7 linked regions of the Cricetulus griseus genome follow. The protein of the gene in region 1 interacts with the protein of each later gene in a biochemical or structural test. Links are inferred from orthologs where the notes say so. Each region holds a gene or a part of one and is shown in the gene's direction. Other genes may lie near its edges. The genes, in order: Lrrk2, Eif4ebp1, Lgals8, Bag2, Mbp, Ywhab and Chgb.

Region 1 (3,638 bases):
AGAGGACTGGAGGAGAGTCAAGGCCATTCATGGCTACAAAATGAGTTCAATACTAGCTTGGGGTATACAGAACACTATCTAAAAAAAAAAAAAAAGTAAGTATTTACCTTTCTTGCTTTCAGGTGGGTTGGTCACTTCTGTGCAAATTAATAGAAGTCTGCCCAGGGACATTGCCGAGCTTAATAGGACCCCAGGATATTGGAAATGATTGGGAGTTCCTCAGAATTCATCAGTAAGTATGACAGATGTGTGGAAATAAACTGCATTGAAGAATTATATATGACACCCTTTGCCATCCAAAACCATTCTGATAAATTCCTTCAAAGCAGATATAGTTTTCTTACATCGATAATTTATATTTATAGAGACCTTTAAACTCAGATTTATGAATTAGAAAACTAAAGTTGATGGATGGTACAATATTAGGTGAGATGACTTACAAACACAGTTCTGTGATTATGTAAATGATTAAATTGTATATCTTTGAGTATGACGTAAGACAAAGCAAGACAAGCTTTTTACTATTAATGGTGGAAATGAGAGAATCCATGAATTCCTTGAAAAACATGGCAACTAAGAAGTTACTTCTGACCAGAGGCCTTGAACAAGACCAGTGACTCTGCAATGAATATTTGCCATTAAGCTGATGGGACAAGGGGGGTGTACTACATAATACACCAGAGCCTCCAGTGTCACCATGGCAAATGAAAAGCTGTTTGAGAGGCAGGAAAGGAGAAGCAAAGAGATTTTTCTGTTGTTGTTTTGTTTTTGTTTTTGTTTTTTTGTTATTGTTGTTTTTGCTTTCATTTGCTTTCTTGCTTACTTTGTGTTATTTTTCTTTTGTGTGTGTGGGGGTGGGCTGCATGGCAGGGATGAAGAAAGGACATCGGGGGACTGGGAGGCAAGCAGAATTGGGGTGCATTATGTGAAACTCCCAAGGAGTCAATAAGAAGTTAAATTAAAAAAAAAGAAGCTACCTCTGTGAGCATTTATTATGCTCTACTGTCTTCATGTGCACATTTGCATGTGTCTGGGCATGCTAATCTCAGTGAAAGTAGACTGTGGCTTGCAAGAGGAAGAGAAAAGAGGAAATGAATTCCCTCTCAACCCTCTGAAGCCTAATCTAGGTGACTATTTATCATCCATTTGGTTGGAGTTCTCAACATAATGTCTTTCATAAGACCACATTCATAACCATAATTAGGTAAAACTTTTTGGAGAAAATTTATAGGAAATGTTCAGAGGAAAATCCTTTTAAAAAATAATGTAGTTTCTGGAGACTTATGAAAGTGTCTTGTCATTAGGTGCCCTCAGACCTAGAGCCACCATGATGAAGATATTATACTCCCAATGTTATGTTACTTGAGAAAAATATATTTTACTAAAAACTGAATTTTATAATCCTTTCAGAAAATTTATATGGGGTAGAACAGTGTGTCTATTCCTAAAGGAGTTATTATAGGCCTTGGTGTTTACATGTTTATCCACTTGTACTATATAGGTGTTGTTAGTTTTTAGTTTCTACCATCTGAAGAGAATGGTTTAGAAAAACAGCCAATTTCAAACTAATTTTGAAATTCCATGTGTCAGTTCTGTAACATTTAATAAAGACCTACCCATGGTATACTTGTAATTAGTCATTCTGATTTTAATGTCCCTTTTGTTTGAGGATTTCCAATTTTCTTCAAGTACAGTTAATCTTCAATATCACTCAGAGACTGTTGGAAATCTCACCTCCTTGTATTCCAGAACAAACCAACCATTTGGGGGGAATTGTGATACTATTTTGATGGGAAATATTCATGTCTTCACTCACAAATTCTCTTGCTTACCACTCAAGTCCAGCCCTCTACCTCCATGGGTTGTCTACACTCCTGCTTTAAGAGAGATCTGAGTTTGTGACCAAGGGAGAAACACTGCTCTCTACACTAGAATATTTTGGGAAAAATTTTGTAAGACGTTTTTCTCTGTAGCCAAGCTTTTCCCCTCCAAAATTGACCAATACCAAAGAGAATTCTGTAGCAGTCATTTGAAGGATGGTGAGCACACATTTTCAGCTCTAGCTGATGCTGTGAACCTGGAAGAGTAGAGCCTAAAAATGAGGCAAAGTCTCATGCAACAATCAACTTTATTCAGAGCATCATTCAATTTATACTCTAATAGTCAAGAAGAGTCACATCAGTATAGTATACAATCACAAGGACCAGCCACACATGGCAAAAATATGTTTTTTTTTTCATGGAGGCAAATAAACAAAGTAAATTCACTCTTTTCTGCTTGCTATACCTGAGAGGGACACAAAAACACACTCCAAGATGAATTCTGTGGTTTTGAAGACACCAAGGTTACAACTCTTGCCCTGTTTGCTTGAAGTTTTCTCACAAGCAATCAGAATTTGCCTTTCATGACTCCATTCTTGGCCTGTGTTCTGACAGAATGCAAGAGGGAGAAGCAGGGACAGAATGGGTAGAGAGATAATTGGCAAGATATCAACAGACCTTCACCTTGCTAGGAGACCAAAGGACATGTTTTGTGAATATAGAAGAGGCTGTGGATAGCACCAGCTCTGTCTTCTTCCAACAACATAAAACAAAATACCACCTGGCAGAAAATGATTAAAGGCTACATATGGAATGGGTAACAGAGATTAAAATCTAGTGAATCTGAGAACAGGTACTATTGATATGAGTTCATTATCTAGTGTGGAATATAACTTTATCAAAGATAGTAGCTAACAATAATTTTAATATTTAAGTAGATCCTGAAGGTTGTGTACAAATGAACGTCTTTATTCAATCTTCCTGTATGTTACTATGTCAACATGCATGACATATAATTCATAAATTCTTATGATGTATCTAAGACATCTCCTCTGGCTATGGATCATCTTCATGGTCCTTTGTGTATTAATGACTAAGTAGGGGCATTTGGAGGAATATAGGTGGGACTTGGCTTCTATCAAGACATAGAATAATACTTCCCTCCTAAGTGTCTTAATTTTTCCATTGTTGTGGGGCAATCCCCAGGCCTTGTATCTGGCAGGCAGGCACTCTGTCACTGAGCTACATGCAAGCATAAACATTTAGGTTTCTACTAAATGTTTCCCTCCAACTTTCCTGAGACATGGTTGATAGCTAGAAAAATGTATGTAGTCAATGCAATTAACTTGTTAATTTGATGCACAGAATCATGTGAAGTTTTTGCCACAATTGATGCAAACAGTATTCCTGGTTATTTCATTTTCTTATTTATATTTTTTGTATTGGTAGAGATTGAAACTGGGGTCTTGGGCATGCTGGGCAAGTGCTCTGCCAAGAGCTACACCACAAGTCAGGATGTTAATTTTATTAGCTTGCTTTTAGTTTGTACCAAGGGAGAATGTATCCCATGAACTTTGATGAACAGAACAAAGTACAGTAAGTATATAGGTGAGTGAGAAACAGTACTTAAATACTGTACGTGCTTTGCCCACATGTGCAGTCAGTGCTTTGTCCACTGGGAAGGCTCCTTGGCTTCTGCTGGATAACCTTTCATTGTCATATGATTTTGCTTTTTATTCTAGACTGATCCTCAAAATGTTAACTGTTCACCATGCCAATGTAAACCTGTCAACAGTTGGACTAAAAGCCTTAGATCTC
Region 2 (4,215 bases), on another chromosome or scaffold:
TTAGTACATATTAGGTAAGTTGTCTACCAACTAGGCTGCATTCCAAGTCCCCCCTTTCTTTCTCTCACTTTTTGAGATAAGGTCTCACATTGTCTGGCCCAGGCTGTACCTCAAACTCACTGTAACCATGCCTGGCCTCAACTTTGTGGTATTTATCTTGTCTCAGATTCTTCAGTATTAGAACTATGTGAGCTACAGCCCAGTTCTAGCTTTCTTGTTTTCTTTGAAACAGGGTCTTGTTGTGTATCATAGGCTAGAAGCCTTGATCCTCTTGCCTCAGCCTCCCAAGTGCTGGGACAAGTGTGTGGCACCATACCTAGCTTGAGTGTTGAGCTTTGTAAGCAGGCCCTCCCTGGAATCTTAGTTCTGGGAAATCTAGGGCCTCCATTGCAACCAAACAAGTCAAAAGCAAAACTCCTTTCAAAATGCTTCTCCCAAAGGGAGGAAGGTGACCCGGTATGTTCTCAAGTGTGGAGAGAGACAGGCTAGCCTGGACTCCAGCGAAGGTTGGCATACATTCAACAGTATGACCTCAGGCATTTATTCGTCAGCTGTGTGATCTTGTGCAAAACCCTGTCCTTTTCTGAACTTCAGTTTTCTGCTGTTTGTGGTTGTTATTGATTGCTTGCTTTGCTTTGTGGAGATGTAGTCCCACTAAGAAGCCTGGGCTATCCTGTAACTCATGATCCTTCTAGGGCTTCAGCCTCCCCAGTTCTGAAATTACAGGCATTCCCTACCACATGGAGATTGATAGATTCTCTATCCTATTAGACATGACGGTCCTCCTTGCCACTCCCCTCCCCTCCCTACCAAAGTGTTGGAATAGACTACAATTTGAGGACTGTTGGGGAAACGTCTTTGACCAGCCCATCCTCTACAGAGGTCCGATCTTGCCACATCAGATTTACAGTCAGTTTCCAGCTGGCTGGCTAGTTCCCTCTTAGTCCACCACTCCTTTCAAGGCCAGGGATGCGCATTGTTCAGCCACTGCTCTGACTCCTACAGCACAGTGGAAACGAAAGAAGCGTTAAGATGGGCGAAGGATCAGCCCACCCTTACTTTCTTCTAGTAGGAACAGCTGGGGATCGAGAGATCACATCCTAATATAGAAAGCAGGCCGTCTAGTGCGCCGAAAACGCGGTCACCAAATCGGAGAGCTTTTCCAACGTCACCCCTATATAGCTCTTCTCAGTGCGTCGGGGAGGGACCCCGGAACCTAAGGGGCCAACACTGGGGTTCCCGCACTGGAGAGGGCAGAAGCCGCTAGGTCAGCAGCTGGGAACAACTTGCATGCAGCGGGCTGGAGCTGGGTGGGGCCGGGCGGACCTCAAGTCTCAGGGGGCGTGGAGCCCAGGCGGAAGGGGCGGGCCGGGCTGGAGAAGGGCTGGGCCGAGGTGCCGCGGGGCTGCTGGAGGGTCGTGGGCGGCACGTAGGAGACATGTCTGGGGGTAGCAGCTGCAGCCAGACTCCCAGCCGGGCCATCCCCACTCGCCGGGTAGCCCTCGGCGACGGCGTGCAGCTCCCGCCCGGGGACTATAGCACCACCCCGGGCGGCACACTCTTCAGCACCACCCCAGGAGGTAGGCGCGGGCCGGGGTTGGGGCGACCTCCAGGGCAGGAGGGCACCCCGGGATCCGGAGTCGCACGTGCGACGGGGGTGGCGGCGCTCAAGGGTTCCATAGCTGGACAGAACGGATAGGGGCGTCAGGAAGGCTGGAGGGTAACCGTCTCGGTTGCCCGCCTGCTGGGTGTGGTGGAGCGTGGTCTGGGGGCCCGTCTGCAAACTGCGCGCTTTTTCCTGGGAGAGACCGCGGAGTGCCCCAAGCACACAGATAGGCACTCTGCCATGATTACCATGTGCTCAAGTGAGGCCTCTCTGGGTGTCACGACAGTTCTAGGGTGGGTCAGGATGGGGGTCTGGGTGGAGCAGGGGAAGGGCCAGGCCTGGAGATTAAGTTTAGTTGATCTCTCTTGGAATAAAGGACGCCTGCACACTTTTTAACCTTCCCCGGGCAACCCTCGTTTTGCGTTGGGACACTCGCTTATTGATGAAGGCTGGGCGTTGAGGGTGCTCTCTGCCCCAGGAGCACGTCTCGGCCACCTGTGGCATGAAGCCGATTTAGAGAGTGAGATCTCCAGACAGGGGCCTGGCGCTGCGTCCATGGCTGTGCAGAACAACACGTTCCTCGGGTCTGGGGGGAGGGCACAACGCTGAATTCGCCCAAGTGGCGGAGGATGAGGAAGAGGAAGCTGAGTTGGCGCGGGACGGGGCCGGGCTCCAGGAACTAGGCATTCCCAGCTTGCCCCGAGCCCCAGTATAGGCGCTGATGAAACCTACACGCCCGTTTGCATGATGAAATGCTCGTGGCTCACTACTTCCCTCCCATTCTCGAGCTGCTCCCACCCATTTTGCGCTTCTCCCTTCCCTGATCTCCTCCCCCAAGCTTCTCCTCTTACAACTCAAAAAAACAGGAGAGTTCCTGGCGCTGCGCTGAACCTTGGGCTACTGCAGGCGCGTCCAGGCCACATGCCTTTTTTCTCAAGCAGCTGTTCCTATACCAGGGAACACAGCCAGACCCCAGAACCAAGGCGCCGTTGAAGGGATCTTGTAGATGAGTGTCCAGTTTGTGCCTCTTGGTCTTCAGAACAACCCCCCCCCCTTTTTGAGCGCGTGTCTGTTATGCATTGTCACGATGTGTTCCTAGCAAACAGGTAGAGCGGGGAAGGCATTCTCCCTTTCATTAGAAATGGCCCAGGGAAAACTCTGCAGGCTTCTGGTCTCCCTTTCCTGGAGTTCTCAGAACTTTCCTGGCCTCTTCTAGTTCACACTCTTGCACCCTTTCTTTGTCTTGTTACAGAACTTTGTGTTTAAGCACAAACTTGGCAGACAGTTGAGTCCTTACAGGTGAGGCGTGAATCTTTTTTTTTTTTTTTTTTTTTTTATGTACAGGCACTGAGGCAGGCTTAAAGGCTCAGGGAAACCCTTTTTGCCCCCCCCCCCTTTTTTTTTTTTTTTTTTCGGATGGACAGTACTGTTTGTATGAAGATCCACTTCACACTATGGACTGGGAAGTGTCAAAGTTGGCAAATCATGATGTCCCAAAGCCACTGGCCCTTTGTCAGGGTGTTTTTTTTTTTTTTTTTTTTTTTTTTGTGGGGTACACAGCCCATAGCTTGAGGAGAGTCTATCTCATTTCTGCCAAAGCCAACAAGCCTGTTCTTTAGCTAAACAGTTGGATCTTCTTCAAGGGCTATTCCTTCCAGGGCTTCTCTGCCAAAGTGGAGAAGCTTGACCCATTTGCTTCAGAGTTTCTCATTACTTAGACCCCCAATTAAATACGGAGTTGGAGTACAAAGGTCTACAGAGTGAGTTCCAGGACAGCCAGGGTTGCATGAAGATCCACTTGCCTCTGCCTTCCTAGTTCTGGGACTAAAGGTGTGCACCACCACATCTGGCCATCCAGGCTTTCCTTACTGTTACATACCTTTTGGGCTGTTTCTAATGGCTCTGACCTGTACTTCCTTGGAAATCCATCTAACTTTTGAATTTTTCTACATATATCAAGGGCTGGCTGGGAGACAAAGGCCATGTTAATATCCTTGAGATTTGCTATGTCCTCAGGATCTATAGGAGTATATAGCCAATAAGCTTGAAGCAGGACTGAGATATTGCCTAACCATTTTACAGGATTTCCAGGTGAAAGGGACAAGCGACATCCATACATGTGTTATTTGCCTTTTCAGGTCTTTGGGAGTCTGGCAAAGTAGATTCCATCCAGGCATGAAGTCAGGCTGGCATTTCCTGAACTTAGGCTTTTCTGTACATCTTGGCTTGTGATTGACCCTTAGGGGCTGTGAGCTTTTCATGAAGGAATATTGCCTTAAGTCCCTTCAGCTGAGATGGCTTTGAAGCAGTTGTCTTGGGGAGGCCATGAGGGAGGCCAGAATGCCAGGACACAGCAGGTGGCCTGAGCCTCCTCCATTCCTGTGGTCATTATCCCTTTGCTGGCCCACCCAGTTAGGTATTCTGAGAACCTAAGACGTTTCTGAGGGGAGTGTCCTATGTGGGTCTTTAAGATGGTCAGCAGTCCCATAAACAGAATCTTCTAGTAAAGGCCCAGGATGGATGTTTGACCTCTGACGAAGTTGTTGGGGTGCCCGTACCTATTAGTGCCTGGGTGAGGTTAATCAGGCGAGCAGTCAGGGTGGCAATGG
Region 3 (3,638 bases), on another chromosome or scaffold:
CATAATTCTCAGTACTTTTCCATGCTCAGTGTCACTGATTTTTTTATTATGTTCACTATTTTAAAAAGATTCTGATGATGTTAATCTATGATCTTTTTGTAGGATTTACAGAGTATGGAAACATCTACCCTGGGCCTGACACAGATAAGTAGAGAAAATGTAAATATCCTCTCCATGAACCAGTAATTTAAAAATGTTCTTAGTTACCATCAGTGGAAGGAAGTCTTTATTTAGTTTTTGAAATTATTGAGTTTTCTGTATTCATTCATGTGTGTGTAGGTACATGTGTACGTGTGTGTACATGTATGTGGAGGCCAGAGGTCAGTTCTGGAAGTCTTTATCAATTGCTCTACATCTTTTTTTAAAATTATTTTTTGCATGTATATGTGTGCAGTATATGCATGTGTATACATGTTCACATGTGTTGGCATGTGTGTGAAAGCCAGAAATAGACGCTAGATGTCTTCCTTGATTGTTCTCAGCATTCTGAGGCAGAGTTCGTAGTTGAACCCAGAGCCTGCCAATTCAGCTAGTCTTAAGTAGCCAGCTTGCTCCAGAGATCCTGTCATGTGCTAGGATTACAGGCAGGCCTCCATGCTGGCCCAGCATTTATATGGGTGAGTGCTGAGGATTTAAACTCCAGTCCTCATGCTTGTTCTGCAAGTGCCTTAGCCTCTGGACCACCTCCCTAACACTTCCACCTTATTTTTTTGAGACAGGGTCTCTCACTGAGCCTGGGACTCACCTATTGGCTAGGCTGGCTGGTCAGCTTGCCCTCCTTTCTCTGCCTCTGCAGCACTGGGATTACCAGTGTGCAATTCCCATGCCTGGCTTTTGCATGTGTGCATAGCAAGTACCATACCAACTGAGCTGTCTCCCTAGCTTCACCAATTAAGTTTTTAATGTGAGGTCAGGACAGAAGCAGTCATTTAAGAACCAAGGAACATACTGTTTTATGGTCTTGGGCACCGTAATTTTTTTTTGGAGGGGGGCACTGTATTTTTGTTGACATGTTACCTGCTAGTTAAATGGCTACCACTCTGTGGTCATGTGAAAAGCACTTTGTCACCCTAACTTCTTAAGAGATATTGGAACGAAGCATTTGTAAATCCTGAACACCAAGGGCACTGCAGATGAACTCTGCCCCTTTGTGGCAACAGGAGCAGTTGTAAAATTGACACTGCTGTTGTGGAAAAAGCAAGGCCTTACACCTCTGCACATCCATGCTTACAGGTGGAATAACAATGTCAGTATTTGGAGGGCTCTTGGGGAGGATAGGTAAAATGTGTTTGAAGTTCACATGTAAACCTTTGAACAACCATTAATTTGTGGGTGCTAAAGTATTCACATGAAGTGCCAGGGTCCAGCCTGTATCAGTCCCATGCTACAGAGGCCATCTGTTCTGGACTGATATCTTTGGGACTGCCATTGGAGCCAGCCGAACAGCTCCGGGTCCATCCCTGAGTGGGAGAGTGTGGTTCGGGAAACTCCTAGCTACCCCACGGCATTAAGGATGAGACAGACACATCTTGTCATCTCAGGAGTGCTCTCAGTCCATGCTGGAGACTGGAGTCCATGGTTTATTCAAGCATCCTCTTAATAGCTTTCCAACAGTGGGGAAAAGACATCTATTATCATGTATCAAGCTGATATTAAATATTTCCTTTAATCCTAGAGGTAGTCTTAGAACTGCACGTCCTCACCAGCCTCTCACCAGTCCCTAGGCTGGTACACAAGCTTCCTTGTATACTACTAGGCTTACTAGTTTCCAGGCACGTTTTCATCAGCCCCCATGATGGGTATGCATCTACCCAGAGGCCTTGGTCCATTGTTACACAAACTAGGAACCATTCCCCACCAAGGCCAGGCATCTAGTGGTAACCAGCCAGCATCTGAAAGACAATGGGAGATTGAAGCTCCTGGGATCGAGCTGAGGTTTGTACCCCAAAATATCATAATTGATATTTTTTGGCCCCAACAATGAAGGACACCAGACTTCCTTCCAGTCCATGTTGCTCTTCAGAAGTCTTTGCACAGCACCTGTCATGAAACACAGTGCTTGTGTCAGCAAGGCAGATAAGGCACTGATACATGATGCCACAGCAGGCTGCTCCTTGCAAACCTGTCAGCCTGCCCAGTAGGTTGTGCTCACTTTTCTTTCTCTCCCACCAGGTATATAAGTCTGGCAAGGCACATTTGGTGAGTACTTTTTTTTTTTGCTTGGTTATTCCTTGCAGGACATTTTATAAACGACCCAGAACATGAACCGCTGAGCCTTGAAGGCAGCTACATTCTTTCCACACATTATTGTAGAACTGTTTCCTATAATCTGGTAATAGAGGAGACACTTCTAAAATCATACTCAGAACTGTGTAAGAGCATAGACTGAACTGTCACTCACACTAAAATCCACCCCCCTCAGCTGTTTGTCTAAGGTTTGAAGAGCCAATGATTTAACTCTGTTTAGAAATTAAGTTCTAATGCTGGGTGGTGGTGGCGCATGCCTTTAATCCCAGCACTTGGGAAGCAGAGGCAGGCGGATCTCTGTGAGTTCAAGGCCAACCTGGTCTAACTGCTACCTCCACTTCCAGCAGAAGCCCAGGGCAGCCCCTGGCATTGTAACTTTCCCTGGACAGACATGTCCTCAGGCATGTGTCTGAACCACTCATGTGGGTTGCTGGTCCCATTAGACCTTAGATAGCTCTGCAGCCATGTCTCATGCATGAGGAGTCAGGTGTCACCCAGGCTGTGAAAACAATCACTGTGTGAGTGTGTCCTGTTAGACAAGATGAGCTTTGCATGGTACCCAGCTGAAATGAAAACAAAGGTCTGTCCCCTCCTGGGGTTCACAGACTCTTAACCCACCATGTTGTTAGGAATTTTCCCACAAGGTCCTTGCCTGAAGATTGCCTCATTCTGACTGTGGCCCCTTTTCAGAGCCTGCCATTTGAAGCAAGGTTAAACGCCTCCATGGGCCCTGGACGAACTGTTGTCATTAAAGGAGAAGTGAATACAAATGCCAAAGGGTCAGTATTGCTGCGCCACTGTTGTCTTATGGACTGGGGGCATGTTGGTAGAGCTGGTGTGCTTTCCTGAAAGGAGGGACCATGGCAGTGCAAGGTCCCACTAAAGACCTGTTGGCAGAGTCAGGACTAGGGACAGCTTCTGGCTGGGCCCCCTTTCAGCCAGGTAGGTGGAATTTTTGTTCACGAGGCTCCTCTAGGATAGCCTCAGTGTACCAAACTTGGGGTCACAGTCCATACCCTAAGAAGCCAAGTTCAGCTATCCATCCTCAAGGAACCAATGAAAAAAGCCAGATTAATAGTGGGAAGCAGAAAAGGAGTTATTCAGTGCAGAAAAATGAGTTATTCAATACAGAAAAAAGGAGTTATTCAGTGCAGAAAAGGGGTTATTCGATGTAGAAAAAGGAGTTATTCAATGTAGAAAAAGAATTTAGTCAATGTGGCCACATGGGGAAGAGCAACAAAGAGGACCAGTGACCCCTGGCCTGCATTTGTAGGGTCCTGTGGTACAATTAAAGTTTAAATAGAGGGCCAAGGATCTGTACATCTCAGCAGTCCCAGTCAAGGCGTGGTCCCACCACCACTGGCCCATTATTGTTGGGGCTTCAGTCTCAT
Region 4 (4,391 bases), on another chromosome or scaffold:
AGTCATATGGGAGGAGCCTGGCCATTCAGAAGCACACTCTCTCTAAAGAGTTCACACATCTTTAGACAGGAACACACATGTAGTCTGAAAATGCCTCTGTGTGTGCCCAACTGGTGACACAAAATTAAAATAAAATGGTTACTTTGAAGATATCTGCTATATTAGTTCCTTTTGCTGGGATAAAACACCATGACCAAGGCAACTTATAAATCATTTAAGCCCCGCGGTGGTGGCACTTGCCTTTGATCCCAGTACTCAGGAGGCAGAGGCAGGCAGATCTCTGTGAGTTCCAGACCAGCCTGGTCTACAGAGGGAGTTCCAGGACAGGTTCCAAAGCTACAGAAAAACCCTGTCTCAAAAAACAAAGCAAAACATCATTTAATTGGGCTCAGCTACAGAGGGTCAGAGTCACGATGGCATCAAGGACAGGTTCTGAGCACTCATCTGGAACCCAAGGAGGAGGCAGAGACACACTGGGAATGGCTAGTCTTCTGCAACATGCCCAGAGTGACATACTTCCTCCAGCAAGACCACACATAATCGTTCCCAAACAGCCAACTGAGGACCAGATGCCAGAGAGCATAAGACACTGAATCCATGACATCTGCCTTGTTTAGTTGCTAACCTAGGACAAAGGCAGATGCTATACCACCGAGCTACGTCTACAGCCCCTTATACTTTTTGAGATTTTTAGCTCTTGGCAAAGCAACCCCGCCTGGCCTTTGAACTCACTCTGGCCCGAGAGACACAATCCTTTATCAACATCCAGATGAGCTGGCATTAGACCTGAGATGAGCGCAAGCTTCGATTTTTCAAGACATTCACAAAACGTTCAAATTTCACATTTGTGTCATGAAATGACAATGTTTAATGAAGCCAGATAACCTACTGTTCCTTATTATGTAAAATGAGTTGGGGATGGGGCGGGTGGTGATGGTGGTGGAGGACCTGGAAGCCAGCTGTGCTTAAGGGACTTGACTCTGTTAAGTCATCAAATGGCTTTGAGTTCTGATTCAAGGTTGTAAATCCAAGTTTCTCATTTTCTGTGCACCGAGAGGACAAAACACAACTCTAACCAGACATGGCTTTGTATTTCAACCCTACTCCACCTCTTAGTGACCTCTGCAGGAGCCTATTGAATATTATTCACGGAGGATTTCAATAAGTTGGGTGTGAAAGTAATAACCTTTCATTAGAAAGGCGAGACAGTATAAATGCACTTGGCTTTTCCTTATTTGGAGCACAGTGTTGCCCAGGCTCTCCCTGTCCTCTTAGGAGCCTGCCTGGTAACCCGGCAGGTCGGGCAAGTAGAGACTGCCCCTAAGGCGCACTCAATTGTCTTAACGCTACACCAGGGGATCTTTTCTCCCACGTCACGGGCCGCACGATTTTGTCCCTGCTGTGAATTGTGGGTGTTGGGACAAACATCAGAAGCCATCGGCGAGCCGGCAGCCCGGTGGGAGGCTGGCGACGGGCACCGGGACAGGGTCCCCCACCCGAGTGCTGGCGGCTGCGCCCGCGCCTGCCCTTGTTTGGCCGCGCGGCCTCGGGGGCGGTGCCGTCCGCGTCAGCGGCGCCCGCGGTGACGGCGACGTGCGGCCCGCGCCACTGCTGCCCGCGGACGCCCCGGACCCCCGGAGCTCATGGCCCAGGCGAAGATCAGCGCCAAGGCCCACGAGGGTCGCTTCTGTCGCTCCTCGTCCATGGCAGACCGCTCCAGTCGCCTGCTGGAGAGCCTGGACCAGCTGGAGCTCAGGTGAGGGCGGGCGGGCGGGTGAGCGTGCAGGCGGGGGCGCCTCGGGTGGGCTCCACTCCCCGGGCGAGCGCGCGCGGCCTGCCCAACTTCCAGAACCTTGTGTGTGGTCCCCGCTGCCTCTAACTTCCACGTTTCCAGTAATGCTCTTTGGAGGGAGGCAGCAGCTTAGTGGGGTCTCTCCCTCCCACCTTCCCATTGTAGTAAGTTTCTTTGCCCCAAACCACTTCATAGTAACACAAGAGTAAGGAAAATTCCAGACTGCACCTCCCGCGACCAGCGAGAATTAGACCCACGAGTGGCCGTTGTGGGTGGCAAAGTTGGATGCGTTCTTTCATTTTCTTAACCACGTGCAATGCCCTCCGCATTCGGTCTGTATCTGTTGTGCATTTAGAAGATACTGATGACACCTAGGAAGTGCCAGCCACAGGCCTGAAAAGGTACGAGTCACACTCTGCCTGAGATTCTATCGCAGGATCGGTGTTGTAGTAAAATTTCTAAATAGTAAATACTAGCAAATGCTGTAAATACTTTGTTGCCTACAGCAATTTGAGATCTTACCTATCTGGTTAATGTCTCCGAAGTTGTGCAAGTCTTGATTGTGTGCAGGTGTTGTTCCATGAAAATCTTATCAAGGCACCCTGGGTCTTCTGGAACTGCGAACATTTTGTTCCCTAGTTTTCTCCAGGTTCTGCATAAGCAAAAGAATATGAGCAAAATCATAAGAGTCTTGTGTGCCTAATCTCCTTCCATTCGTCCACCAAACAAACAAACGGGAGGATGTTTGCACAGAAAACTACCACAAGCAGCATTGTTACAAATGAGGCATTTGTTATTATTACTATTAGGAGCAGAGATCCAGACGGTGAGAAATTTTTTTCACAATTTCCTGAGTAGCCACAAGAGAAGCCTTAACCATACAGTCCCCAGCCCGGAGTGAGACAAAGGGACCTCAGCTTTCAAGCCCTTCTGAGGAGAGGGAATGCTTCCCTCTACAAAGTAGGCACTGAACTTGGACAGTATATTCTCAACTGCTCAGATTTTTTTCTCCTTGAAAGGGTTTAGGAAGTTGTTACTCTTCTTTAGCTGAGTCACTGTCCTGAAACCTGAATTAATGCCTCCCTAGTGCTGGGTAGGGGGGTGGAGGGGGTTCCTGAAAGCCTTGGGTTTGGTGTTGCAGTCTAATGTTTGGTTAATGTAAAAGGAATTCTGACTGTTGCACATATGTGATTAATTGATACTTTAACTATTTGCTGAGAGGGAGAGTTTAATGTGTGTTTAATGGCTCAAGGCATGGGGCTCCTTTTTAGAAGCCACTTTGACACAGGGCACTGCACTATTAAAAATTTAGACTTTTAGCTGGGCAGTGGTGGCACACACCTCTAATCCCAGCACTCGGGAGGTAGAAGCAGGTGGATATCTGTGAATTTGAGGCCAGCCTGGTCTACACAGTGAGTTCCAGGACTGGCTTCATAGTTACTGAGAAACCCTGTCTTAAAAAAAAACAAAATAAAACAAAACAAAATTTTTAAATATGGATGATAGAGGAAAGATGAAGCTTGTGTGATTTCCCGATACTAGCTTCCTTGTATACAAATATTAGCAAGGCTGTGGATTTGGTGCTGTAAAACCCTGGTTTGTAGATAGTATGCATTTTCCAGTCAGTTGTGTGGATTCTATTGACAGTGGAAGTCACTTTTTCTTCTGAAACTGAAACCACATCAAAGGCTTTATATCCTGGAGGCTGAACTGACCTCTGGGATTGCCTAAAATGCTTTAAAATGTTCAGCCCTGTTTTACAAGCTGTTAGTGGATTGTCGTTCGTTTCTATTAGTTTATAATATTAACTACACTATCTGACATTAAAAAAAATATTTTCTACTACAGCTCCTCTAAAGAGGTAACCCTGTCCTTTCTTGATTTTTGCGACCAGTTCTATGGGATTCTGCGCCCTTCGTGGCTAGATGGCTTACTTATTACTTTTTAATGTTTATCCTAGTTTATAAATAATACATGTTAGCATCTATCTGCATGCTAGGCCTCATGCCTCTGTGGGAGTTACCATTATCTGTATTCTACAGATGAGAAATTGAAGCTCAGATATAAACGACATGCCTCAAGTTGCAGCCAAGAGCTGTGGACTCCACGTTTGAACACAGGAAGAGGGGCTGCTCAGATCAAACACCATGTGTCTTAGTGTTGAATATATCATTTTTCAAACTGTCCAGTTGGCATAAGAACGTGCTTTTACTAAAAGAAAAATCAATTTAGCATTTAATTGAGTAAATATTGAGCACCCAGTACGTGCCAAGTATTGAGTAGCTTCTAGAAGCTGTGGGTGATAAAGCAGCTGGGTCTCGGGGATTGGCAGAGGAGGAATGAATGATAGGTAGGACTGGGAGGTCGGCTGTCCGTACACTTCCCAAATGGTCCCATAGGGAGTAGTTCTTTCCAGTCCACCCAGGCAGGAAATGATGTTGTCGCCAGGGCCAAGGAAATGCACTGTCCGCTGCTTTGGTTTCTTACTGCTTAAGGTTCCTGTCAGGATGTCCCAGTGTCCCAGGACTCACAAAGCAAGTCGACACCATATTTAATTGGAGTAATAGTCTGTAATTTAAAAGAACACTTTTCATATACC
Region 5 (4,151 bases), about 160 Mb from region 1:
CCACTGGGAAGGAAACCTGTTGTTCCTGGGAATCAACAGAAGCCTTGGAGGGCATGAGGCTGTTGTTCCCACTGTGGCTAGGCAGCTCCCAGATTCACTGACACCTGCAGGGCAGGGACATTGGGACACATCTGTCTCCTGGCTGCTGACATTGAGTTTTGATGCCTGGAATGGGACCCAAAGTTCTAACATTCTCTGATGTCCTGAGCATCAAGCCAGCTGTGAGCACTGGACATCCCTGTCCTGGGTGGCCCTCTTGCTTCAAACAGGCTTAAAGTCACTCCATCTTAGGTTGGACCAGGACCTTTCCCCTGCTTTTCTATCCTTACCTCCAAATCCCAGGACCTACATCCTCTCCGACTCCCCCTCGTATACCATAGCTCCTAGGTGCACGGACTAGTTAGGTGTCTCTACACTACTGTGAAAATAGTTGTCTTAGAAAGACTGGCATTTGGAAATAGTCACAAGATCCTCCACCTTCCATGAGGAGGTGAAACGCCTGGAAACTCCCTAGGAGCCAGCTCTGAGACTTCCTGTCCTCTGTTCTTTGCATGCATAGTGTGTGTCCCTAGGTTGTCTGATTGATACCCTCATAATGTTTATCTCACGAAGAACTAGAGACTTACTCAGCGTGGTCCCCTTCCACTAGTTCCTCCCACCTACCCTGAGTCAGGCTGATGGAGTCAAAAGATCCATGTGGCAGCAGGGAACCTGTGTTCAAGTAAGCACAGTGGGGTCCTCAGTGGCAGAAAGGGAAATTTCCTTGCTGGAGTCACTAGCCTCCTTCGTGACAACAGACGTCCTGGGCCCTCTAGCCAGCACCTGCGGTCTCAGCTCCAGCTTCAGGCCCAGAACACAAAAACTACCTCGGGTCCGGCTGACCTTCTCATCCGGAACAGGTGCCAGGGATCAAGGTAACCCATGGTACAGGGCGAGCGATGCCAATTAGACCTCTCTTCCGAGCTCCCGCTGTCCAGGCTTCTGAAGCAGGAAAGGTTCCGAGAGCAGCGGTGCGGAGCGTAGGGCGGTGACGAGCAAAGCCCCGCCCCGCGGCTCGCAGGGCTGCCCTGCCCCTGGGTCCCCGCTTGTCCTCCGCCCTCCCAGTGGCGCGCATTTACCTGCTTGCAGGCAGAGGGAGGCGGGGCGGGAGCGGGGTGCGCGCCCGTCCCCGGAGCAGCCGCTGTCAGTCACCGCTGCTGAGCGCCAGCGAGGACGAGCCTCTGGCCCAGGCGGCCCGCGCCTGGCGACCCGAAACACAGTACCCGCGGCCCAGCGACCCCGAGCCCAGCGTCGGGCCCCTCCTGCCGGGCTCCCGGGCGCCCATTGGCTTCCAAGGCGCAGGCAGCACTGGTGAGTGATCGTCATCAGGGACGCGCGGGGCGGCCCTGGAGCCTTTGTCTCCGCGCCCCTAAGAGCGGGAGACCTCGGCACCGAGCCTGACTCTCAAAGAGACGAAGGGAAGGGTGCTCGGTACTGGCACCAGAACTCTGATCCCTCCCCAGGCCAGGAGCGCCCGGGTCACAACTGACCAGAGGAGCAGGTGTCCCCGCAGGTGGCAGCTGGGCGACCTCTCGGACCGAAACCACGTCGGCAGCCCCATCTTTCTTGGCAAGTGGTGGACGCAAGTGTAGACTCAGGTCCACAGCGGTGGGGACTAGGAGCCTGCAGGATAGCCCGGAGTGGTCTCCGGCCAGGCCTGGGGACCCCGGGGTCGCTGAAACTCGAGCGGCCTAAAAATGGTGAGGGGAGGAGTTTAGAGGTGGGAGGTGACCTCGGTCTAGAGAGACAGCCGTCCGCGTGCGGAGAGGGGTCCTGATGGGCTCCGAGGGCGCCCAGGGGCCCACCTAAGCCTGCCTTGCCTGCTAACCACACACCTGCTGGCCCTCGTGCGAGCCCTGCCCTGCTCTGCCCTTCCCCACAAGGAGAAGCAGTTCCTCTTCGAGCAGAGGGCGGCGACAGGCACTTGTCCAGGCTTCCGCCTTCTCCGGGCCTGTCTCGGGCTCCTAGGCCCTCTCCCACCCTGCCCACCTGCTGGCCCCCGCGCTGTGTCCAGCCCGGCCCCGTCTTCCCGCCCTAACTTGATCTCTTGGTCCTGCTGAAGCGCCGGGTCCCAGTAGCCCCCGGGGGACAGTCCTCGTGTTCATGTTCTGCTTTGGTGTGTTGTAAACGCCTCTGGTTTTTAGGGGATGTGCGTACCCTGTGTGGGATTTTGAGGTGTTTCTCTAGTCCCCTGATTTGGGAGGTGGAGCGAGGCTTGGACAAGGGTTTGTGATTCTCTGAGGAATCAGTTCTGACACTTGACGCTTGCCAGCAGGACAGCTGCTGAGCCACACAGCACACCACACCACATGAGAGTGGATCTGTGCCGTTGGGGACAGTCTTGGAGCAGGGCGTGAGAGCCTGTCGGGTGGGAGGCATCAGACACTGGACAGGCATCGCCTCTGCCTGCGCAGGACACCGGGCATGCAACTAGAACATTTCTTTAGAAGAAGGCAACCTTAGGGAGGTCTCATTTAAGACCTGTGGCTTTGGAGATTATGTCTAGATGAGCTCAAAGGACCACTCACTCACTACTCATGGCTCTCCCAGAAGAGCTTCCCCTGCCACCGGCACCTCTGGGATGGGTGGGGGCACCCGTGTTAGAGGATGGGATCCTGGGAAGAGGCCAACCCAAGTTGGAGTGCAGGATAACCACATAACAGGTGCACAGCCCCCCAGCTCGTGTAGACATTCCCAGATTCTCGGTTGGATAAACAGAAACCTGAGAGAGAAAATAACAGTTTAAAATAATCGTGAATGTGAGGTGCAACGCCTAAGAATTTAATTGTTCTGAAATGCGTACTTTTATCGACTTGAGATTTTTTTAAAAATGTGTCAAATCCACTTTTGATGTCTGTCTAGATATGAAGTGTTGGTTCTTGGTGGAAATGGTGTGTGTGATTTTTTTAAAAAAAATCTGTGAACACAGAAAAAGAACATAGCCCCATCTTTCAAGGATGTTCCAGTTTAGCCTGGATTTTGGAGTGCTAAAGCTTATTTTGTTTGAATCTTGGTTTCCTCTTCAGGCTCTTTATGTTTTTAATGCTTAGATTATATTTATTTACTTATGGGTATAGGTGGGTGAACAAGTGTGGAGGTCAAAGGATAACTTGCAAGGGGTCAGCTTTCGCCTTCCACCATGTGGGTTTCGCCCCTCTCCAGGTTCTTTCCAATGTCAGCAGCTTCCCCTGCCTTCCCAATAGCAGGTGGCATTGACTGACCACTCACCAAACACCAGGCTCGATACTGAAAACTGTTGACTCCTGCATTTAAGTTTTAACTGAAGTGGGAGAGCTTCATCCCCCCCCCCTTCCTTTCTTCTTAAATGTCCACCATTAGGGGATGGAGAGATGGCTCAGTGGTTAAAGATGCTCCCCTGTCCTTGTAGGGGGCCCTAGTTAAGTTCCCAGCACCCACATCAGTTGGCTCATCACTGCTTGTAACTCTAGCTCCTAGGAATCCGACACAGTCTTCTGGACTCTGAGGGTACCAGCTTTTACAACATGCAAATACCCCCACCCAGATATACATATGACCAAAAGTAAAATTTTAAGGCCACAACTAGCTAGTGGCCATGCCTATTAAAACATCCAGGTTCCATCCCCCAGGTGGCCTGACCATAGAGACACCCATCTTAGTTGGTATCCTTTGCTTAGCTTTCTTTATTGATAAGGAAGAAAAGCAAGTGTCCCTGTGACCCAGCGTCACATTAATAAGCTATTGCTTGCAAAGACAGGTTCTTACCAGTCCCCCAGAGCACACTAAAGGAATCTGGGAGGTCCTATGCTGCAACAAAGAGATAACACATCAGAAGTCCCTGTGCCTCCCAAGCACATGGGAAAACTGCTAGAACATTCTTCCATGAAGGCTTTAAGTCTCTATTGAAATCTGTGGTGGGCAAATTTTAGCCTAGAAACAAAGTCCATAGGAGATGCTTGTTAGCGATTCTGAAGCTACCAGGAGCTACACTCAGGAGGTGTAAAGATTAAAGATGCCGCACTGTGGCTCTGAAAGTTCTTTTGCTCTGGGCTTTGTGAGCTCTAGGGGAGGAGAGAAAGGGCAGGGGAGTGGATGGTTGGGACGTAGGTAGTAGAGCACTTGCTTAGCGTGCC
Region 6 (4,343 bases), on another chromosome or scaffold:
AGCAGGTTGAGCTAGCCTGTAAGCAGCATCCCTCCATGGCTTCTGCATCAGTTCCTGCCTCCAGGTTCCTGCCCTGTTTTCTGACTTCCTTTGATGATGAACAGTGATTTGGAAGTGTAAGCCAAATAAACCCTTTCCTTCCAAGTTGCTTTGGTCATGGTGTTTCATCACAACAATAGAAACCCTAAGCAACAATCTCAAACTGTTTATAAATACTGAGAAAGTACATTGGGAGAATAGGGAGCTCCATAAATGAATTGGGGTGCTGACAACCACTAAGGGCAGCTTCTGGGGAGTTCTGATAGTCTTACTCATAGAACTATATGCCTGAGTCTGTAGTTCTGGACACACAGAATGGCAATGAAAAAAGATCACTTGGCATTTGGTGGGGGCAGGGCTCTGAGTCAAGTGGTGAATTATAAATCTATCATTAAGCTACGTAAGGGAGAAATGACAAAGGTCTATTTGTTCTTTCTCCGAAGAACTGTAAGCTTCAAGACAGCAGGGCAACCGTCTGTCTTGTCCCTTGCTGTATTTTCCAGCGTTCAGAAAGCTGCCACACAGAATTTGTGAAAAGTGAAGGAGTGGTGATAGAGGTATTTTGAAGGGCTAGATTTAAGGGTCAACGGGAGTATTAACAATCTCAAGTAACAGTGAAAACCGTCTGGAGAGCCCCGGATTCCTGTCTTTGAGGCTTTCCTATAAATGATACTTGGGGACCAGGGAATCTCAGTGAAGAATGCATATACAGAGGGTGGTTTTGTTTTTTGTTTTTTGTTTTTCTTAAGACCTTGAGAGTGTTCTGTTCCTGACACTTCACGTAGCTTCCTGGGTCTAGGAGAGGAACAGTAAGTACCTTTTAGGCCTGAAATAGGAATTACTGAAAAAGTAGGGCTGAGCCATTTCTGTTCTCCTTTGGTTACAAGCATTCCCTTAGCGCACAGCTAACAGGACTGAGGGCCTCCGATTCCGTGAGGATTATTTTCAGGGTGGGGTGGGAACATATGACCCCCGAACCTGGACCAAGAACGCTCCGAGCTTCCGAACCCTCCCTCCGGGAGCCCGCCCTGTTCTCACACATCCCAGCCTTCGGGCGGTCACCTCAGCTCCGCCCTCTCTCCTTTCTCCTCTTCCTGCTCCCCACCCCACTTCCTTTCCCCGCGTCCGCCCCCACCTCGCTCCCACCCAGGCCCTGCGCCCTCCCACGACCGCTCCCTCTAGGCTCTCCGTGACTTCCCCTCCTCCGGCTATCACCGCCCTTTTCGGGAGGACGGGGCAACCCCGTGCCTCGCTCACCCAATGAGGAGCCGGCTCAGGGTGGGGCGGGACTTGGGCTAGAGCGGAAGTGGTGGCCGGAGCGGAAGTGCAGCTGCCGCCACCGCCGCCGCCGCCGCCGATTCCTGAGCCGGGTAGCCGCTGCCGCCGCCGCCACTGCAGCTCCGGTCGCCGCCACCGCCGCTGCCGCCGCTGCTGCCGCCGTCTGAGGAGTGGGCCTGGGGAAGACGCAGTCGCCGCCCTCCGAGCTTCCCGGAAGCGCCTTTGCTCGCTACAGTCCTCCACGGTGAGTGCGGCGCGGCTCCCAGGGGCCCCAGCGCGGAGCCCCTTCTCGGGCGGCGGCCGCGGCCCGTCTCGCCACCGCCCCTCCCCGCTTCCGGCCGGGCCTGCGCCTCCGCGGGAAGCCCGGGCTTCTCTCTCGGCGGGCCGCACGGGGTGCGGCTGGGGACGGCTGGGCCGCGGGCTCCCCTCGGCACCTCCTCTGCTCGGCGCCGCCCCTGCCTGCTCCCCCCGGGCCCGGAGCCTTCCCTCTGGGCCTGTCAACCTCGCTCCTTTGTGGCTTTCAAAAACTGAAAGGTAGCGGAAGGCGAGCGAGTCCCTGCTGCACTCCCCTGGATGAGCAAGGGTTTAACCTTGGCGACAGCTGGGGCGAATCCCTCTCCCACTCTGCAGTAGAGCTGTTTCATCATCGCCGGTGTGGGAAACCCGGCTGGACCCGAGATTCTCTTGACAGCGGGGTTGAGGTTTGAATCAAGAAATGGATTTGTGGGAATCGTTTTACTGACTCAAACCGGATTCCCAAAGGGGTGGGGGGAGATCAGGCTGAGAATTGAGGCTTCTCATGATATTTGTCGTCATTTACTGCCTTAATCTCGTGTGTCTGCGCCCCAAATTCCTCCAAACACCTTTTTTTTTTTTTTTTGGCTTATTTTGTGTTTTACTGCTTGGAATTTGTCTGTTAGTGGGGAAGGAGTGGGCGGGATGTGGACCCTTTCTTTCCAAGATGAGCGCATCTGGGTCTATTGCAAATGGAGAACCTGCGTGCAGGGCGGATTCCAAAGGTGGCAGCCTTGCTGAGAATTTGCCAGTCTCTCTGTAAAATAAGTCTTGTCCTTGCCTTCAGTACATTCCCTTTGGTGAGACCAGATAGTATTCCACTCTTGCTTTTACTTGTCTGATGTGGGAGGGGCAATCTGTAAGATGTTATGAGTCTGTAATGTCACAGGAGCCAATGCAGAAAGCTGCAACACTAAGGAGAATGTGAAAATTACATTTCTCACCATATCTCAAGTGTTTCTGTGAAACCACACATAACAGTTTATAGGCCTGAACACGAGGTTACTCAGCGTTTTACATTTAGCTGCTGGGAATTTATAGAATATTAACTTGATTTTTTGGTGGATTTCTTCTTGACTGCCTCCATCCAGCGGACCTCATTTCTTAGGGTTGTCCGAGGTTTTTTCTTTTTCTTTTTTATTCATATATTTTTTTTTTTAAAGATCGACGGCCATGGCAGCATACAGATGGAGAATATTGGGTTGTTGTTGTTGTTGTTTTTCTTTCTTTCTTCATCCAAGTTAGAATTTTAAGCATGACCTTAGAAATCGAAGACTGAAAATCCACTACCAACTGCTGAATTATTTTCCTAACCTCTGCCTTCAAACATGATAAGAAACCATTCACCCATCTTACAAATGAAGTCTTCATGAGAAATGAGGTGATTTGGCCTAAACCACACACCTACTTTCAGACTGAATATGCTCTTTCATCTATGGCAAGTATTTATGGACTGCCAGCCCCTGGAGTATGGCTCTTACCCTGTTAATCTTCTGTACGTTTCCCATGATGCAGTGCTTGTGTTACGTTGAAGCCATTTTAGACTTGGAGCTGTATGGATCAGGGAGGCAGCCTGTGTGAAACCAGGCCGAGCATATTCCCTTGGTGCTTGTTCCCTAGGCAAGGGTCTCCAGAGATTTGGGTTGCTGCAAAAAGTGCATTTTTCCCACTTGGCTGTGGATCCAAAAACAGCACTGAAGATGACGTTAGGTAAATTTGATTCAGTTCTTTCTCTGTACTGTTTTCTGGCAGTGATCATCAGAAGTTAATTATCTCTGCTTCTTAGTTTCCCTATCTCCACAGTTATAAACTGTAAGTTGTTAAGTATAAACCTTTGATTTTGTTGTATTTTAATGGTTGAGTTCACATTCTTCTTTCTCCCTTTCTGATAAGACACAGTCTTGTTCTGTCCACTTGCTATTGAAAAATGATATATTATGTAACTGTACATGTAGCAAGTCCAGTTTTTCTCATCTGGACCATACATATGATAACGGTATTCCCTCTTTCCCACCTTTATGCTGTGTAGCCCTGCCTAATCTCAAACTCACTGCTTTAGGCTTCTTCTGACTCTTAGGTGCTGGGATTACAGGTAAGCACCTCTGTGCTGGGCTGGCAACATAACTTTTGATGTGTGGTGGCAGACTGAATCAAAATAAGCTTCTGGACCGGGTGGTCTACAGGAGCTTGTTCCAGGACAGCCTCCAAAGCCACAGAGAAACCCTGTCTCAAAAAACAAAAGCAAAACTAAACAAAAAAGCTTCTGGAATGTAGATTTTCTTAATACAAATAAAATTATTTTAAAAAAATAATTGAATATAAATGAATATATGCCACGGTGTTTAAATATGTAAAATAGTTGTATAAGTTGTGGGATCTTTAAATAGCCTATCTCCTCAGACATGATTTTTTTGGTTTTTCAAGACAGAGTTTCTCTGTATAACAGCCCTGGAACACACTGTAGACCAGGCTGGCCTGGAACTCATAGAGATCTGCCTGCCTCTGCTTCCCGAATGCTGGGATTAAAGATGTGCACCACCACTGCCTGGCCAGACATGATTTCTTTTTGTTGACGAATAAAGTCTTTTCTTCTAGCCCATTGAGAAATACAGACACAGGGTCCATACTTTGTGTAGTCAAGATGCAGTGCATAGCACAGCTGAACTTGCAGCACTTGTGTAGCTATAACTTAGTAGCCATTGATCAGCCTTTGTCTTGTAGATTTATAATCA
Region 7 (4,431 bases), on another chromosome or scaffold:
TTTTTAAGACAATTCTAGTATTGGGAAGCTGATAATATAGGACAGTGGTAGAGTGCTTGCCTGCAAGCCCATGGCCGTATGTTCTCCCCAGCAATGCAACCCCCCTCCAAAAAAAAAAAAAACAAAAAGGAAATGTAAAAACATACATTCTGTAGCTGCAGTTTTGGTAAAAACAATCTTCCAGGAAGATGAATCTATCTATATACTCATCATGTGCAAAAAGAATTAGAGACTTTTCAGGAGAAGGAACTGGAAATCTCTTTTTGGTTTGTCAGTAGGCAATTTCATCACCTAACCAAAGAGATCTCAAGTTAAGTTTCAATGTTCCTCAGAATCTGTTATCAGAGCAGATTGTATCTGTTCTGGGCAGGATACTTGCCTGTGCTTTTTCCCGATTCCTTATTAGGCTAACAGAATCCATGTCAAAAATAATCTGGAAGATGTTATCATCTCCCTTGCACACATAATTAAAATGCATTTCTATCTCAATTTAAAAGCAAGCAAAGATGAATAGGTTTTCAGGGATGTAGTAGTTCCTACAAGGTGGTTACTTCATACCCTGCCCTTCAGCTATTCCCCTGTTATAAAGAAGTAACTAAAGGCCAAAGAAGAAGAAGAAGAAGAAGAAGAATAAGAAGAAGAAGAAGAAGAAGAAGAAGAAGAAGAAGAAGAGCTAACAACCTAAATAAATGTCTACTAGGAAGAGCTGGTTAAACATCAACATACCCACTCAGTGCAACAAGAGGGAGAAGGGGAGGGAGGAAAGAGGGAAAGGACGGGAGAGGGAGAGGAATAGTGCCAGTTACATATGCTCCGGACTAAATTAGGAATAATCCACAGAAACTGCTTACAGCGGGAACTGAACTTGGAAACCGTGGTTAAAAGAGCGAGATAATTTTGCAGTGTATCCTTTTGGCCCATCTGATTTTTTTTAAAGCCCATCTGAATAAGCTATGTGTGTGGGGTGGGAGGTGTCCACAAATGGAAGACAGACAGAGTCACAGATGGTAAGACAGATACACTGACTTAACATCTGAACCAAGAGCAAGTTATAGATTCCTAAAGTGTGCAGCCATCACTCTTCTTGTAAAGGTCTGAGAACCGCCTGTGTGTTCTAAGCAAGGATCTTCCTCGGCTGGGCAGAGGAGACACAAAGCTGACCTCATCGTTTACACACATTAGAAGCACATGTACCCACAGCCTCAAACTCGCATCTGCAAGCTCTGAGGTATGTGCGGGGGAGCTGGAGCGCAGGCGCGTGCAATCTGAGCTGGACCCTTGTCTCTCCTCGCCTGGGACAGACAGCACCTGGCCTTCCAGCTTCCCTGCCTGCTCCTGTTGGACCCAGCACAGGGCCACGCTCACTGGCTGAGTTTCTGCCCACTGGCGCCGCCCCGGGGCTGCTCCGTGACGTCAGGGTTGAGCAAGGGGCGCCCCCGCTAGCCGCTCGCCCTCGGGCGCTGCAGCCCGCCTGCCCTTCATAAGAGCCAGACCTGCGTCCACCGCGCTACAGCTGCTCTGCGGAGCCCGCACCCGCTGTGCTCCTCCTGGCACGCAGCTGGCGAGCAGGGCCATGCAGACCGCCGTGCTCCTCGGCCTCCTGGGCGCTGCAGCTCTGGCCGGTGAGTGGATTTCAGCACCGCGGACAGCTCCCTGAGCTGGGCCCACAGCCCAGTGCTGGAGGCGCTAGGTTTCATCCTCTTACCTAGCCTCTTCTTCCCCTGGTATCCCTTGCCTCACCGCCCTGTGAGTTGAGGAAACAAGAGCCCCCAGCCTTTCCCTGCTTTTCCCGCAGGGGCTGTGCGGCCCTTGCAAGCAAAGCCGCATTCTGTGTTCTCTGCAGATACCTCAAGCTCTCTACAAGGCTAGAAAGAACCTTGTAGTCTGATACTCTGTGTGACTCTTGACAGCACTGAGACCGCAGCAGGGTGGGAATGCATGCAATTGGCACCTGCAAAATTTCCTCTATTATTATAAAGATGACGAGTTAGAATTAGATACGTGTGCATATAAGGCATTTTCAGGTCTTCCTGTGTCTGTGTTTACAGGGTCAACATATTTATTCTTTTTATTTATGTTTATAGAGAGAGGTAATTCGCGTTTAAATTGATCAGTTTTTTAATTTATGAATGGGATTTGCTCTAGATATTTCTTTGTATCTAGAAATAAAAATAACAAGACTTTGTAATAATCATAAAAGTATCTCCAGAGCAGTAAACTAATGTCTCAGTCAATTTTGGAGGATGAAAACAAAAGGAGTTAATATTTGATGATTTGTGTGTGGAAGATTGTGGTGTTGAATTTCAAATTACTCTTAAAATTACTCAGTGATCTCTGATGGCTTGAAGTGTGTTTGTGTTGGGATACTGATGAGTAAGTACAACACCAAATTAAGCTAGCAGCTTTCTTTGAATGGCCGCAGAGAAGTATTTTGTTCTGAGACTGAGATTCCCAACTAGACTTGACTCCATAAATATAAACCTTTGATGGACAGGAATCACTTGATTTAACGTTTGACAAAATGAAAGCAAAAGGTAATTTATTTTATTGCATTCACAATGTTCTCAATTTTTAAAAATCATTCTTGTGAATAACTAATACATGTTCTCAGTTTTTTTTAGAAAACAAACTGAATCAGTTAGAGTTCTTTGAGTCCATAATATTTCAGAAAGACATTGATGAAGAGGTCACAGTGATACTGTATGTTGTGTTCTAGATTACAGAACAGTAACATTTTTGTAACTCAACTGTGGTGGTTAAACATTTTCATACCTCCTATGAAGGAATAAAAGCTCATATTTAATAGTAACTAAAATGGAACTATGATTCCCTCTCATTTTTTAGGCTATAATTCACACATTATGCTGCCTCTTAAAAGTGTCTAACTCCCTGGTGTATAAGCTAGTCACAGTCTATAACCATCTCCACAATGAAATTTCAGGACATGCTCATCACCCCAGAAAGACACCCCGTATCTTAGCAATCACCTCCCCTATTTCCTCCTCCCCAAATCTGGCAATGAGGGACTTCTAATAGTTTTGTTATTTAGCAAAGTTGTGGTTGGTAACAAGCCCTCAGGAAGTCATCTAGTTCATTTTCTCCCATTAAGAGCTTATAAAAGGAGATCCACAACTGTCTATGGCACTTTAGATATTAACATGAATCCATATCATATGAAGAAGGATTTTTTTTAACTATGCAGATCTTGTTTGACTGGCAACCTTGGTTGTAACTTGGGCATGCCCATGATTTACTGGTAGAGGGACATGTTTAACCTGTTTTTGCTGCTGTAATTTCCAACTGGGTTTAAACTTTTATAGTCATAATAGTCTTATGGATGCTGATACTTCAGATGTTATTCCCAGATTTATTATTTGATCCTTTTTTTAACCATTTGATTATTTCACTGTCCCATAAGTGTTTATTTCTTATTTGCTACAAAAATAAGTTGAGAAAGTTAAGGAGACTCAATATATCTTTAGTTATTACTTTGCTAGCACAGATTCTATTGGAAGAAACGTGTGTCACTTACCAGTCTCACCAAGTACACAATGTGCTTTCATAAGCAAATCCTAGTTCCTTTCTATTAAGAGTTTGAGGAGCCTGCCTGAGGGAAACAGGGAAGTTCTATACTAGTAAGTCGTAAACTGCTAATTGTCTAGGACAATGGGACATCCCTTGACCATCAGATCTGACAAGGGTTAGTACTTTGGCTGTATGGGTAGTTAAAGTACTCACTTTTCATTGGGGGAGACAACAGACAGAACTATATATGTGGAGCTGCATTGCTATAGAAGGTTTGGAAAGCTGAATTTGGAAAGGGTGACTTCTTTGTCATCTAGGGACAAAGCTCCCATTGTTACTTTCCAGAGAATTTCACAGATTTCAGGTCAAAAGAGAAAAGTGCCAAGGTACGTTCTCAAAATAGCAGTTGTCTGGAGCATAAAAGAATGGCCCAGGACTGGGGCTGCAGCTCAGTTGGGGGGAGTGATTGTCTGTCATGTGTGTGAACCTAGCCTCAGTCTTCAGCACTAAAGAAAAGGGAAAAACAACAGGACTTCCAAAGCCTGTATGACCCTGAGTGCCCAAAGTTGGCCAGCCAGGTCTTATCTAATCTGTGTTTGAAGAAGAACTTGGGGTCTTTCTTCAAAGCTTGTTAGGCACTTTTCAAATATTTTTAAATGATCCTTATCAGCTAGATGATATTGGGATAGAGAACTTGATACTTCTGATGGTGTTTACACAATTTTATACAATGCAGGGAAACATAATATTGAAACAGATGTAGAAGCAAACTGTTTAAGCAAAGATCTTGAGTGAGTAAGGATCTAATATCCACATCTTTGGTTGTTGTCTTTGAGGTTGGTTTTGTTTGTTTGTTTGTTTGGGGCTTTCCTTTCTTTTCTTTCTTTCTTTTTTTGAGACAGTGCC

The links.
Region 2: of the proteins of Lrrk2 (region 1) and Eif4ebp1, one has a biochemical effect on the other in vitro, tested with the Homo sapiens proteins (3 studies listed by BioGRID). The link is inferred for Cricetulus griseus from reciprocal best matches to the Homo sapiens genes LRRK2 and EIF4EBP1.
Region 3: the proteins of Lrrk2 (region 1) and Lgals8 form a complex in vitro, tested with the Homo sapiens proteins (2 studies listed by BioGRID and IntAct, with this or other methods). The link is inferred for Cricetulus griseus from reciprocal best matches to the Homo sapiens genes LRRK2 and LGALS8.
Region 4: the proteins of Lrrk2 (region 1) and Bag2 form a complex in vitro, tested with the Homo sapiens proteins (2 studies listed by BioGRID and IntAct, with this or other methods). The link is inferred for Cricetulus griseus from reciprocal best matches to the Homo sapiens genes LRRK2 and BAG2.
Region 5: of the proteins of Lrrk2 (region 1) and Mbp, one has a biochemical effect on the other in vitro, tested with the Homo sapiens proteins (6 studies listed by BioGRID). The link is inferred for Cricetulus griseus from reciprocal best matches to the Homo sapiens genes LRRK2 and MBP.
Region 6: the proteins of Lrrk2 (region 1) and Ywhab interact on a protein array, tested with the Homo sapiens proteins (2 studies listed by BioGRID and IntAct, with this or other methods). The link is inferred for Cricetulus griseus from reciprocal best matches to the Homo sapiens genes LRRK2 and YWHAB.
Region 7: the proteins of Lrrk2 (region 1) and Chgb interact on a protein array, tested with the Homo sapiens proteins (3 studies listed by BioGRID and IntAct, with this or other methods). The link is inferred for Cricetulus griseus from reciprocal best matches to the Homo sapiens genes LRRK2 and CHGB.

What each region holds. Positions count from the first base shown.
Region 1 is NC_048595.1:388,196,349-388,199,986, forward strand, and holds part of Lrrk2 (leucine-rich repeat serine/threonine-protein kinase 2), read left to right. Parts: intron 1-122; coding exon 123-232; intron 233-3,562; coding exon 3,563-3,638. UniProt on the Homo sapiens protein: Serine/threonine-protein kinase which phosphorylates a broad range of proteins involved in multiple processes such as neuronal plasticity, innate immunity, autophagy, and vesicle trafficking.
Region 2 is NW_023276807.1:56,590,444-56,594,658, reverse strand, and holds the start of Eif4ebp1 (eukaryotic translation initiation factor 4E-binding protein 1), read left to right. Parts: upstream 1-1,373; 5' UTR 1,374-1,438; coding exon 1,439-1,580; intron 1,581-4,215. UniProt on the Homo sapiens protein: Repressor of translation initiation that regulates EIF4E activity by preventing its assembly into the eIF4F complex: hypophosphorylated form competes with EIF4G1/EIF4G3 and strongly binds to EIF4E, leading to repress translation.
Region 3 is NC_048596.1:236,458,971-236,462,608, reverse strand, and holds part of Lgals8 (galectin-8), read left to right. Parts: intron 1-102; coding exon 103-159; intron 160-2,172; coding exon 2,173-2,199; intron 2,200-2,937; coding exon 2,938-3,026; intron 3,027-3,638.
Region 4 is NW_023276807.1:14,226,990-14,231,380, forward strand, and holds the start of Bag2 (BAG family molecular chaperone regulator 2), read left to right. Parts: upstream 1-1,572; 5' UTR 1,573-1,643; coding exon 1,644-1,756; intron 1,757-4,391. UniProt on the Homo sapiens protein: Co-chaperone for HSP70 and HSC70 chaperone proteins. Acts as a nucleotide-exchange factor (NEF) promoting the release of ADP from the HSP70 and HSC70 proteins thereby triggering client/substrate protein release.
Region 5 is NC_048595.1:233,085,313-233,089,463, reverse strand, and holds the start of Mbp (myelin basic protein), read left to right. Parts: upstream 1-1,220; 5' UTR 1,221-1,350; intron 1,351-1,481; exon of another isoform or gene 1,482-1,608; intron 1,609-1,614; exon of another isoform or gene 1,615-1,739; intron 1,740-4,151. UniProt on the Homo sapiens protein: The classic group of MBP isoforms (isoform 4-isoform 14) are with PLP the most abundant protein components of the myelin membrane in the CNS. They have a role in both its formation and stabilization.
Region 6 is NC_048599.1:15,522,191-15,526,533, reverse strand, and holds the start of Ywhab (14-3-3 protein beta/alpha), read left to right. Parts: upstream 1-1,427; 5' UTR 1,428-1,561; intron 1,562-4,343. UniProt on the Homo sapiens protein: Adapter protein implicated in the regulation of a large spectrum of both general and specialized signaling pathways. Binds to a large number of partners, usually by recognition of a phosphoserine or phosphothreonine motif.
Region 7 is NC_048599.1:45,789,271-45,793,701, reverse strand, and holds the start of Chgb (secretogranin-1), read left to right. Parts: upstream 1-1,573; coding exon 1,574-1,622; intron 1,623-4,431. UniProt on the Homo sapiens protein: Secretogranin-1 is a neuroendocrine secretory granule protein, which may be the precursor for other biologically active peptides.